Saccharomyces cerevisiae S288C: one gene and its partners. The gene in region 1 interacts genetically with each later gene. Each region holds a gene or a part of one and is shown in the gene's direction. Other genes may lie near its edges.

What was found.
Region 2: mutations in FMN1 (region 1) and ERO1 together harm fitness more than expected from each alone (negative genetic interaction), as found in Saccharomyces cerevisiae (2 studies listed by BioGRID).
Region 3: mutations in FMN1 (region 1) and LCB1 together harm fitness more than expected from each alone (negative genetic interaction), as found in Saccharomyces cerevisiae (2 studies listed by BioGRID).

What each region holds. Positions count from the first base shown.
Region 1 is NC_001136.10:934,616-937,788, reverse strand, and holds FMN1 (riboflavin kinase), read left to right. Parts: upstream 1-1,896; coding exon 1,897-2,553; downstream 2,554-3,173. Other genes in the region: mitochondrial 54S ribosomal protein uL5m MRPL7, read right to left, coding at 296-1,174; mRNA splicing protein PRP42, read right to left, coding at 2,651-3,173. UniProt on the Saccharomyces cerevisiae protein: Catalyzes the phosphorylation of riboflavin (vitamin B2) to form flavin mononucleotide (FMN) coenzyme.
Region 2 is NC_001145.3:10,983-15,124, reverse strand, and holds ERO1 (ER oxidoreductin), read left to right. Parts: upstream 1-1,950; coding exon 1,951-3,642; downstream 3,643-4,142. Other genes in the region: COX14 (Cox14p), read left to right, coding at 372-584; YML131W (uncharacterized protein), read right to left, coding at 3,830-4,142. UniProt on the Saccharomyces cerevisiae protein: Essential oxidoreductase that oxidizes proteins in the endoplasmic reticulum to produce disulfide bonds. Acts by oxidizing directly PDI1 isomerase through a direct disulfide exchange.
Region 3 is NC_001145.3:858,715-862,685, reverse strand, and holds LCB1 (serine C-palmitoyltransferase LCB1), read left to right. Parts: upstream 1-1,794; coding exon 1,795-3,471; downstream 3,472-3,971. Other genes in the region: carboxypeptidase C PRC1, read right to left, coding at 1-764; GSR1 (Gsr1p), read left to right, coding at 3,796-3,971. UniProt on the Saccharomyces cerevisiae protein: Component of serine palmitoyltransferase (SPT), which catalyzes the committed step in the synthesis of sphingolipids, the condensation of serine with palmitoyl CoA to form the long chain base 3-ketosphinganine.

The sequences.
Region 1 (3,173 bases):
TTTAATTGCGTAGGAATCTTTGTTCTCATTTTTAAACAAGTATTCACTTTTATGTACATTTTCTTTCCTAAAAATCTTTATACAGAGTTGAGTTGTGAGTTGTGTAAGAGACGTCCAATTTTATAACAATTTGTAGACATCTCAGTGCCCCAAAGAGAACTATATGATTGAAAAATGGAGAGAGATAGTATCTTGTACAGTTTATATATTTACATGACGAATGGGAAATTATATATGCCCTTTGCCTTTCTGCCATAGAGCATGGCTAACTGGCCAGGACCATGAGATTGTATTCTTATTTCTCCTCTCCGAAAAATGGGAACTGGAACCCACTCAACAAAGTTCTCGCCTGGTAATCTAATTGAGCTGAGGTGTTTATATTTATGTGCATACCAAAAGTTTTAGGCCATGAGTCCTGGTTTGCATCGATTTCAGGGAAGAATTTGATATCTTCAGCCGTCAGGCCGAAACTAATCCCACCAAATCTGTTCCCAGACTGGTTGCTTATACCTTTATATTCTCTGATTCTTGGTAGGACGATTTCGGTCAATGTGCTTAAGAACTGAGACATTTCTTTTCCCTTTAGTTCGACTTTAGCTCCCATCTGATGACCTTTTCTCAGTTTCCAGGTTGGAACATCATTTTTGGAAAAAATTGGATGAGGTTTACATCCAGTAATTTGTTGTAATTGTAACGCAGCGGTGATAGCCAATAGCTGATTTTCTCTCGCTTCCCTAACAAAACAGTTTATTACAACACTTTCTAGCCCAGGAATGTTACTCCATTTGATAGGATGAATGTCAGGTAGTTGAGCTTTCGAACCTCGAGGATTTTTCGGTGGTCTGTTCAAGTGGTATGGCGAATCACCACTCCACGCTCTTTGTTTTAGACCCTTTACCACCGCAGCGTTATGTGAATAATTAATCAATAACAAATCAGATTGTAAAGTGTTAAGGTAATGGTCATTGAGTCTATCTGCATGAGTGTCTTTTGGTTTAAATCCAGGTGACCTAATATCACTTTTGTCATATTTCAATTCTGGAAATCTAGGGGATAACTTTGACTTATCAATTTTCACCAAGTGATGAACTGGTTTGACCAAAGAGCATGCAGATTTGGGCTTCACACAGGAGTGAGAGAATGATCTGTGAGTGACTAGTGAAAACCTTTGCATTTTGTTCGTGAATCTCGAGCCCTCTTCAAAGTGGTACAACTAAAAAAACAAAGGAGAGTATTTACACTATTTCCGGTCCTGTCTATTACTTTACAGATACCTCCCCAAATTAGTTATAAAATTCTAAACAGATGCTTTTCCTGTCTTTTTATTCTTCTGTTTTCGAAAGGCCCTTCGTAGATGATAGGTGATTTTGTCGTGTTCGCTTTTACCGTAAAGCGAATAAAGTAGTAGATGGGTAAAACTTGATGCGAAAATAGACAGTTTGCAAACAGCACAAAAGGAGCTCCGAAACAGCCTTTCTTCTTTTTCTAAATAGGTTATTAATGAAGAGTATGGGTAAGTCATTAAGGATTCACATTATGCAATCTTTCCCAGGGTCGGCACACCCACTTTCTAAAGAATCCGCACGCTTATGTTAGTTGGCAACGAATCACACTCAAGAGGTTTTACAATGAATACTGATCATGTGAAACATGATTAAGTTACTCTAATAGAGAATTGAATATCTTGATCACACTGCACTTCAGATGTTGCAATTGCGTTATAAGAGAGGATGTATTTGTAGTCCTTTATGCAGGAGGGTAATGCGTCAATTCAAATCGTTGCTTTAATACTCTGTCAGCATTGGTAACACTATTATTGGACGTACAAGACAATGTTCTAGAAAGTGGTAATTTGGACCCGTGAAGCGGTCACAGACACGTGTTGTTGAAGTGTTGATGTTTACGTGGACTATTTATGTTTCGTTATTGCTAGTGTTAGCAGGTACTTTCTTAATGAACCGAAATACGAATACAGATATAATTGATACTTTTAAACGAGAAGTCGATTTGCCAATACCTGCGCAACCAGGTCCACCATTCCCGCTTGTTACTGACTATTGTGACATTGTATGTGGATTTGGCCGCGGATCCGCCGAATTGGGTATTCCCACTGCCAATGTACCTATAAATCAGTTACCTAAAGGTATCAACGATTTGGATTTAGGGGTTTACTTTGGGTTTGCTCACATTAAAACTGTTGATGGTCAAGAACTATCGGTGGAAACAAGGCGGGATGGAAGAACTGTGGTTTATAATTACGGTCAATATTTAAGTGAAGCGAACGATGATTTGTCCGTACTTCCTATGGTACTTTCAGTTGGGAAAAATCCATTCTACGGAAATGATTTCAAAACCATGGAATTACATATTATACATGATTTTAAAAATGATTTTTATGGGGCCAGGGTCAAGTTCAATATTTTAGGTCATATCAGACCCGAATTGAACTACACTACTAAGGAAGCTCTGATCGAAGACATCAATATCGATATTAGGACTGCGCAGACTGTCCTTGCCACTCCACCGTATCAAGTATTCAAACAACAATTATAGAGATCTGCGGGAGTGATGAGGCTAGTAGTTTTTCTTAACGGTCATTAAGTATACATTTACATATTTATACCTTTTAATAAATGACAATGCCTTTTGGCTAAGGTTCTTCAGTAAACATTTCCTCTAATGTATCCATCTCCTCTGGGAAGTATGACTCACAGAATTCTGTTAAAGACGGCAAGACGCTCTGTGCAAATTTTTTGTCTATTTGGGGCCATATTTTTCTGACAATATATTGCCTCTTGTCCAAATATGACCTAGAAGTGTCGAAATAAATTAAACGGCAATAACAGTTCCAGAACATACCGTTCTGTAGGTAGTACTCCCAACCAAATTCTATTATCTTTTGAAATATGTTCTTTTCTACAAATTCTACGGTATCCTTCGAATAAAACTGTACTAAGTTATTCAATAAAATTTCTTGACCACTTTTTTTTTCTTTACAACTCAAACGTTTCCATACTTTATCAAACAGCTCCTTATTCAAAAGCCCGTTTGATTGTGAATCAGAATATCGACTGGAATACAGAGAATTCTGGCAGAACGTTTTGAACTGAAGATAGTCCCAAAATATCTCAAAATCATCAACGTTTTCAACATTGTCGGAATATGAGGACTCA
Region 2 (4,142 bases), on another chromosome or scaffold:
GTCAACGTAATGTACTTTTCTCCCCAATTTTTCTTTTCATCCGTATATTTTACCGTAAAATGGACAAGCTAATAGCAAAACGAAAAAACACGTTGTCACTTCTATATAACTTTGCTTAAGTAAGTATTTTGTCTTTATAATGTTACATACTGTGAAATACACTCTTTAGAAAACACTATTTCCTCACTCTCGGAAGCAGATTTCGAAGTTCTTCCTTACTTCTGAGCTTTGCTTCTCCTTCCTTGCGATTAATGTTACCCGGTATACGAAATCGGAGAGGATCAGAATAAATGCATTGAAAGGAGCATAAATCTATACAGCGGTTTGGCAATGGTGAGAGGAAGAGAACAAAAAATAGAACGCAGATAGTCATGTCCAAATACGCTTGGTATACCAGAGTTACAGATACATTACATCGTCTAACGGTACTGACGTTGGTTGGTGGTACGTTATACATGTCGGGTGGCTTAGCTTACACTTTATACATGAACGGTAAGAAGTACGAACAACAAGTGACCCAACAAAAGGCACTTGAAGAAGACAATCAACAACTGCAAAGTCCTACTGCACCTCCTACCGAGTAAACTGCGAGAACCCAGTGCTAATAAAATGAAGAAAAAGTACTAGATTACATTTTTAAGTGTTGCACTATATTCTAAGGGCCTCCATCGACGTAGTGTGCTGGTTCCACCTTCTCCTCATTATCATGCCAATATTTACGAACCTGTATATAATAATTAAATCATAAGAAACAACAAAAATAAATAACATTGCTGCCGGATTCCCGTAGGCAAAACTAACATATATATCGCTGCATGCCTTCCTATTCCTTATCAGGGGAAAGACTGCCACTGAGGTTTGAGGCCAAAGGCTGAAACACTTTTCTTCTAAAATGTCGTCTATTCGCCATCTAGTTTTTTATCTGACTATTTCTCGCTGTTTACTTTTTCTTACTGCCATTATGTAGGCCTTTTGAGTCAGCTTTGTGAAGAGATCTTATTACCTTAATTCTTGCTGAAAAATACATCGCAATGAAGTCACTTTCGTGATGGAAAGAACACGGCGGTAAGAATACGTTCCTTTTTGTGCTGTGTACACCCGTAAAATTGTACATTATTTATTTCAAAATATATAACAGGATCCCTCCAGTGTGTCTGAAATGATGCAACTCTGATACTTCAGAGTCGTACCCTTATTAAATACTAATGCCGAATATAGTCATCCAGTAGCCATAGTTCACACACACATTACTTATTCACCACATAAAGAACTAGAAATGCTTGCTAAATATCGTACCTTGAAGGTAAACATTAAGGCCCCCCAAAAGCATATATACATACTGGCAACACAAAAAAAGTAAATTGCCAACCACCTACCTTACATATGGTTTGCCCATCCTACATTACCAATACTATCAAGACATTTCTTCTGAAACATATTCACAACTGAAACGAGATCATTTTCTTATCTATCTATTGAGTAATGCTTACTTTTCATATTTTCAATGAACAATAGGATATGTAGGAGAATTGATATATTCACTGCGTATCAGAGAAAAGGTCTACTGACATTTTATGGCAAATGTATTCTACACAAATCGAGAATACCACAGACAATGGTACAAGACATACACAAAGAGAAGACTGTTCTAATTAAACAAATAATATTGAGCTACCTGCTAAGTATGTCCTTTTCCCTTTGTCCTTTGGTTTCTCTTATAGAAGACCCTGGAAATTTTTCGCATTTTTCCGGCTTTGGGCGTTAGTAAGAACAAAAAGAAAAGAAGAGAACAAAAAAGAAACGATACGGAGTACGTGTCATAAAAACTTGTTCAATCATCCTTGAAGCTAAGTATAAAGAGCTTGAAAAGGTTTACCACTTAAACTGGTTATACTATTTCAAGAGTGTAAACATTTTATTGCATATACCACAGTAACGTGCAGGTAAAACATGAGATTAAGAACCGCCATTGCCACACTGTGCCTCACGGCTTTTACATCTGCAACTTCAAACAATAGCTACATCGCCACCGACCAAACACAAAATGCCTTTAATGACACTCACTTTTGTAAGGTCGACAGGAATGATCACGTTAGTCCCAGTTGTAACGTAACATTCAATGAATTAAATGCCATAAATGAAAACATTAGAGATGATCTTTCGGCGTTATTAAAATCTGATTTCTTCAAATACTTTCGGCTGGATTTATACAAGCAATGTTCATTTTGGGACGCCAACGATGGTCTGTGCTTAAACCGCGCTTGCTCTGTTGATGTCGTAGAGGACTGGGATACACTGCCTGAGTACTGGCAGCCTGAGATCTTGGGTAGTTTCAATAATGATACAATGAAGGAAGCGGATGATAGCGATGACGAATGTAAGTTCTTAGATCAACTATGTCAAACCAGTAAAAAACCTGTAGATATCGAAGACACCATCAACTACTGTGATGTAAATGACTTTAACGGTAAAAACGCCGTTCTGATTGATTTAACAGCAAATCCGGAACGATTTACAGGTTATGGTGGTAAGCAAGCTGGTCAAATTTGGTCTACTATCTACCAAGACAACTGTTTTACAATTGGCGAAACTGGTGAATCATTGGCCAAAGATGCATTTTATAGACTTGTATCCGGTTTCCATGCCTCTATCGGTACTCACTTATCAAAGGAATATTTGAACACGAAAACTGGTAAATGGGAGCCCAATCTGGATTTGTTTATGGCAAGAATCGGGAACTTTCCTGATAGAGTGACAAACATGTATTTCAATTATGCTGTTGTAGCTAAGGCTCTCTGGAAAATTCAACCATATTTACCAGAATTTTCATTCTGTGATCTAGTCAATAAAGAAATCAAAAACAAAATGGATAACGTTATTTCCCAGCTGGACACAAAAATTTTTAACGAAGACTTAGTTTTTGCCAACGACCTAAGTTTGACTTTGAAGGACGAATTCAGATCTCGCTTCAAGAATGTCACGAAGATTATGGATTGTGTGCAATGTGATAGATGTAGATTGTGGGGCAAAATTCAAACTACCGGTTACGCAACTGCCTTGAAAATTTTGTTTGAAATCAACGACGCTGATGAATTCACCAAACAACATATTGTTGGTAAGTTAACCAAATATGAGTTGATTGCACTATTACAGACTTTCGGTAGATTATCTGAATCTATTGAATCTGTTAACATGTTCGAAAAAATGTACGGGAAAAGGTTAAACGGTTCTGAAAACAGGTTAAGCTCATTCTTCCAAAATAACTTCTTCAACATTTTGAAGGAGGCAGGCAAATCGATTCGTTACACCATAGAGAACATCAATTCCACTAAAGAAGGAAAGAAAAAGACTAACAATTCTCAATCACATGTATTTGATGATTTAAAAATGCCCAAAGCAGAAATAGTTCCAAGGCCCTCTAACGGTACAGTAAATAAATGGAAGAAAGCTTGGAATACTGAAGTTAACAACGTTTTAGAAGCATTCAGATTTATTTATAGAAGCTATTTGGATTTACCCAGGAACATCTGGGAATTATCTTTGATGAAGGTATACAAATTTTGGAATAAATTCATCGGTGTTGCTGATTACGTTAGTGAGGAGACACGAGAGCCTATTTCCTATAAGCTAGATATACAATAAGAGCAACACAGTTTATCTTATATGTATTCAATGTATAGATTTCAAAATATAGAGTTTAAATATCATTCAAAATATTCAATAAATTTTTCCTTTGAAAATTTAGGCCACTAAAAAATTATAAGAGCCAAAACGAAGTAGATACAATAATAAAAATAATATAGTCATATCTTAAACTTTTTGTGTAAAATCACTCCTCATTGTTAACCTTGGTAATAAGTTTACCTTTATTAACACCGCTAAATAGACCCTTCCATATCAATGGAACATTCTTGAACTTATCACCGGTACCATCTTCAAGGGTAGCGGATTTCAAGAGGTCAATCTTACCATGCTTAACCAGAGAACCCAATTTATCTAATGCCTTTGGAAAATCATCAATATTATCTGTCACTAGTACTCCTTTAACGACCAATCGTTTAGTCAGAATAAAGCTATACCCCTTAAAGACAAATTTAGATGGATCATTATAGGCACTTATAGCACCACAGGCTATCAACATA
Region 3 (3,971 bases), on another chromosome or scaffold:
CCAGCGATGTGGAAATCTTGGCCCTTGTTGACGTATTCAGGGAACTGATCGAAGAACAACTCCAAGAAGTTATAGACATCCTTACCAGCGGCGACAGTGTTGGAAACACCTGAGGACCCGGAATACGAGAACCCAACGTTGACAGGCTGGTCAAGGAAGATCACGGTGGCATTGCTGTTCCAAGAGTAAGGGTTCCCGATGGGTTTCAAATCAGGTCCAATGGATGAGGGTCCTAATTCAAAGAACAGCCCGGTTAGTGAAGAACAACCTGGACCCCCGTTCAACCAAAGGATGACCGGATCCTTTGCAGGATCGTTTCTACTTTCAAAAGTCCAAAAGAAGAAATGCTTGTCCTCGTCTTCCACATCCAAGTAACCCGTGTACTGTGTGACATTTGGGTCAATGCCCAGGATTTTAGGGTCCTTAATCTTGTTGACACGAAGCTGATAGTTTTCAATTGCGTCATTCTTGACCACAAAGTCCCAGTCTTTCTTCGTTTTGATTGCTTCAGGGAATTTTGGCTTAGTGGAAGTTTCAAGGCTCATAACCTGGTTTGGGTACAAATGCTCTATTTGGGCCCAAGCGTCCAATACATTGGAGTCCAACTCCTTCAAGAGATGATCCAGGTCGAGGTCCAAACCAAATTTTTCCGCAGCTTGCAGCAAAACGTCCTTATCTAGACCCAACGGTCTTTGCAATGAGATGGCCTTAGCGAGTGTAGTGGACAGGCCTAGTCCACATAGTAAACTGGTGAATGCTTTCATAGCGTATGTATACTTTAAGTTGAGTAGAAAAGAAACAATCTCTAGTGAGTATTCTTTCTCTCTCTCTCTCTTGTCTTGTTAAGACTAGGAGGGAAGACGAAAAGAATTATTTCGGAGCTTTTTTGCTGGCATTCTTATCTCGTGCTTTTATTAGTGGGCCCCTTCTTTGAGACCCCGCGGGTGATATGGCCCCTGTCTCAATGATGGATAAAGTTGTTGGAAGCAATTACCAAGACAATCACAAACGAAGGTTGCTACCGAAGTGTACTGGATGACCAACATCGCTATGATTAAATAAGACTATACATAATAGACAAGGGTGGCGCGGCTCCATTCCCAGGGAGACACAAACACGAGGTAAGTCTCAAAAAACCGAAGTTTCGCTCTAAAACTGCACGTAAAGGTCGTGGTATTGACTACAACCATTGACTGTTACATTGTGTAGAAGAAAGGTCCTCACATACTGCTCTGTCAATATGGCTTCTTGTGCAGAAGGTCAATATGTACTATTTCCATGAACCCACAAAATAAGGGAAAAAAAACACTGGAAATAACCGCCACACATACCGTATAAAAGTACATCTCTTTATACGAGTTACTTACTAGACCCTAACCAATGCCTTCAAAAAACAGGACAGACCCTAAAAACTACCATAAGAGACCTAACATATGTATCATCATATACGGAAATCGATTTCGCGTATTTTTTTTTTTTTGAGGCGCCATGATTTCTTACACGGTTTCTTTTTTTTTTCCTTCTTTCCTTCTTGCTTCTCTGCTAACAAATTTTTCACTCATTCTTTTTTATAGGGGCATATTGCTGCGGTTAACTGTAGTGAACGAAAGTAAGATTGAGAAAATATAGTACTTAAGAAAAAGAAAAGGAAAAATAAAAAAAATTCTTTTCAACATCATCGAGTAGCACAGTATAAGAGCGCTCTAACCTTCTGCCTGGCCTCCAATATACACATTTTGCTCGTGTAGGGTTATTTATCCTTTTTTCTTCCTTCCCACCCAAAAAAAAAAAGCAATGGCACACATCCCAGAGGTTTTACCCAAATCAATACCGATTCCGGCATTTATTGTTACCACCTCATCGTACCTATGGTACTACTTCAATCTGGTGTTGACTCAAATCCCGGGAGGCCAATTCATCGTTTCGTACATCAAGAAATCGCATCATGACGATCCATACAGGACCACGGTTGAGATAGGGCTTATTTTATACGGGATCATCTATTACTTGTCCAAGCCACAACAGAAAAAGAGTCTTCAAGCACAGAAGCCCAACCTATCGCCCCAGGAGATTGACGCGCTAATTGAGGACTGGGAGCCCGAGCCTCTAGTCGACCCTTCTGCCACCGATGAGCAATCGTGGAGGGTGGCCAAAACACCCGTCACCATGGAAATGCCCATTCAGAACCATATTACTATCACCAGAAACAACCTGCAGGAGAAGTATACCAATGTTTTCAATTTGGCCTCGAACAACTTTTTGCAATTGTCCGCTACGGAGCCCGTGAAAGAAGTGGTCAAGACCACTATCAAGAATTACGGTGTGGGCGCCTGTGGTCCCGCCGGGTTCTACGGTAACCAGGACGTTCATTACACGTTGGAATATGATTTAGCACAGTTCTTTGGCACCCAAGGTTCCGTTCTGTACGGGCAAGACTTTTGTGCCGCACCCTCTGTTCTGCCTGCTTTCACAAAGCGTGGTGATGTTATCGTGGCAGACGACCAGGTGTCATTACCAGTGCAAAATGCTCTGCAACTAAGCAGATCCACAGTCTACTACTTCAACCACAACGATATGAATTCGCTAGAATGTTTATTAAACGAGTTGACCGAACAGGAGAAACTTGAGAAACTGCCCGCCATTCCAAGAAAATTTATCGTCACTGAGGGTATTTTCCACAACTCGGGCGATTTAGCTCCGTTGCCTGAGTTGACTAAGCTGAAGAACAAGTACAAGTTCAGACTATTTGTTGACGAAACCTTCTCCATTGGTGTTCTTGGCGCTACGGGCCGTGGGTTGTCAGAGCACTTCAACATGGATCGCGCAACTGCCATTGACATTACCGTTGGGTCCATGGCCACCGCGTTGGGGTCCACCGGTGGTTTTGTCCTGGGTGACAGTGTTATGTGTTTGCACCAGCGTATTGGTTCCAATGCATATTGTTTTTCTGCCTGTTTGCCGGCTTACACCGTCACATCCGTCTCCAAAGTCTTGAAATTGATGGACTCCAACAACGACGCCGTCCAGACGCTGCAAAAACTATCCAAATCTTTGCATGATTCCTTTGCATCTGACGACTCCTTGCGTTCATACGTAATCGTCACGTCCTCTCCAGTGTCTGCTGTCCTACATCTGCAACTGACTCCCGCATATAGGTCTCGCAAGTTCGGATACACCTGCGAACAGCTATTCGAAACCATGTCAGCTTTGCAAAAGAAGTCCCAGACAAACAAATTCATTGAGCCATACGAAGAGGAGGAAAAATTTCTGCAGTCCATAGTAGATCATGCTCTTATTAACTACAACGTTCTCATCACAAGAAACACTATTGTTTTAAAACAGGAGACGCTACCAATTGTCCCTAGCTTGAAAATCTGCTGTAACGCCGCCATGTCCCCAGAGGAACTCAAAAATGCTTGCGAAAGTGTCAAGCAGTCCATCCTTGCCTGTTGCCAAGAATCTAATAAATAAAAATAGAAAGCCAGTATATGCACACGCACATATATATATAAATATTTATACAATAATACAAATAATCGTAACATCATCTCTGTCAAATTGACGTGGTGCACGGCGCCCAGAGAATGCGCTAAAAATTTTCGGATCCGAAATTTTCTTTCCTTTTACCATCGAGGCAAAGCAACCTGTATTATTTATTTGTTTATTTATTAATAGAAAAGAAAGGAGTACTTTCGTGGTACGCTTTCTTGAGCATTTTCGGTTTCACTAGGCAGAGAACTAACACAAGAGACACAGCAAACATCAAACAAGGTTAAAACAGCACACCAAGGCAATATGATGCATTTTAGAAAGAAATCCAGTATCAGTAACACGAGTGATCATGACGGAGCGAACCGTGCCTCAGATGTCAAGATTTCTGAAGATGACAAGGCAAGATTGAAGATGCGTACTGCTTCCGTTGCTGATCCTATTCTAGACGCTGTGCAGGAAGCCCAACCTTTTGAACAAGC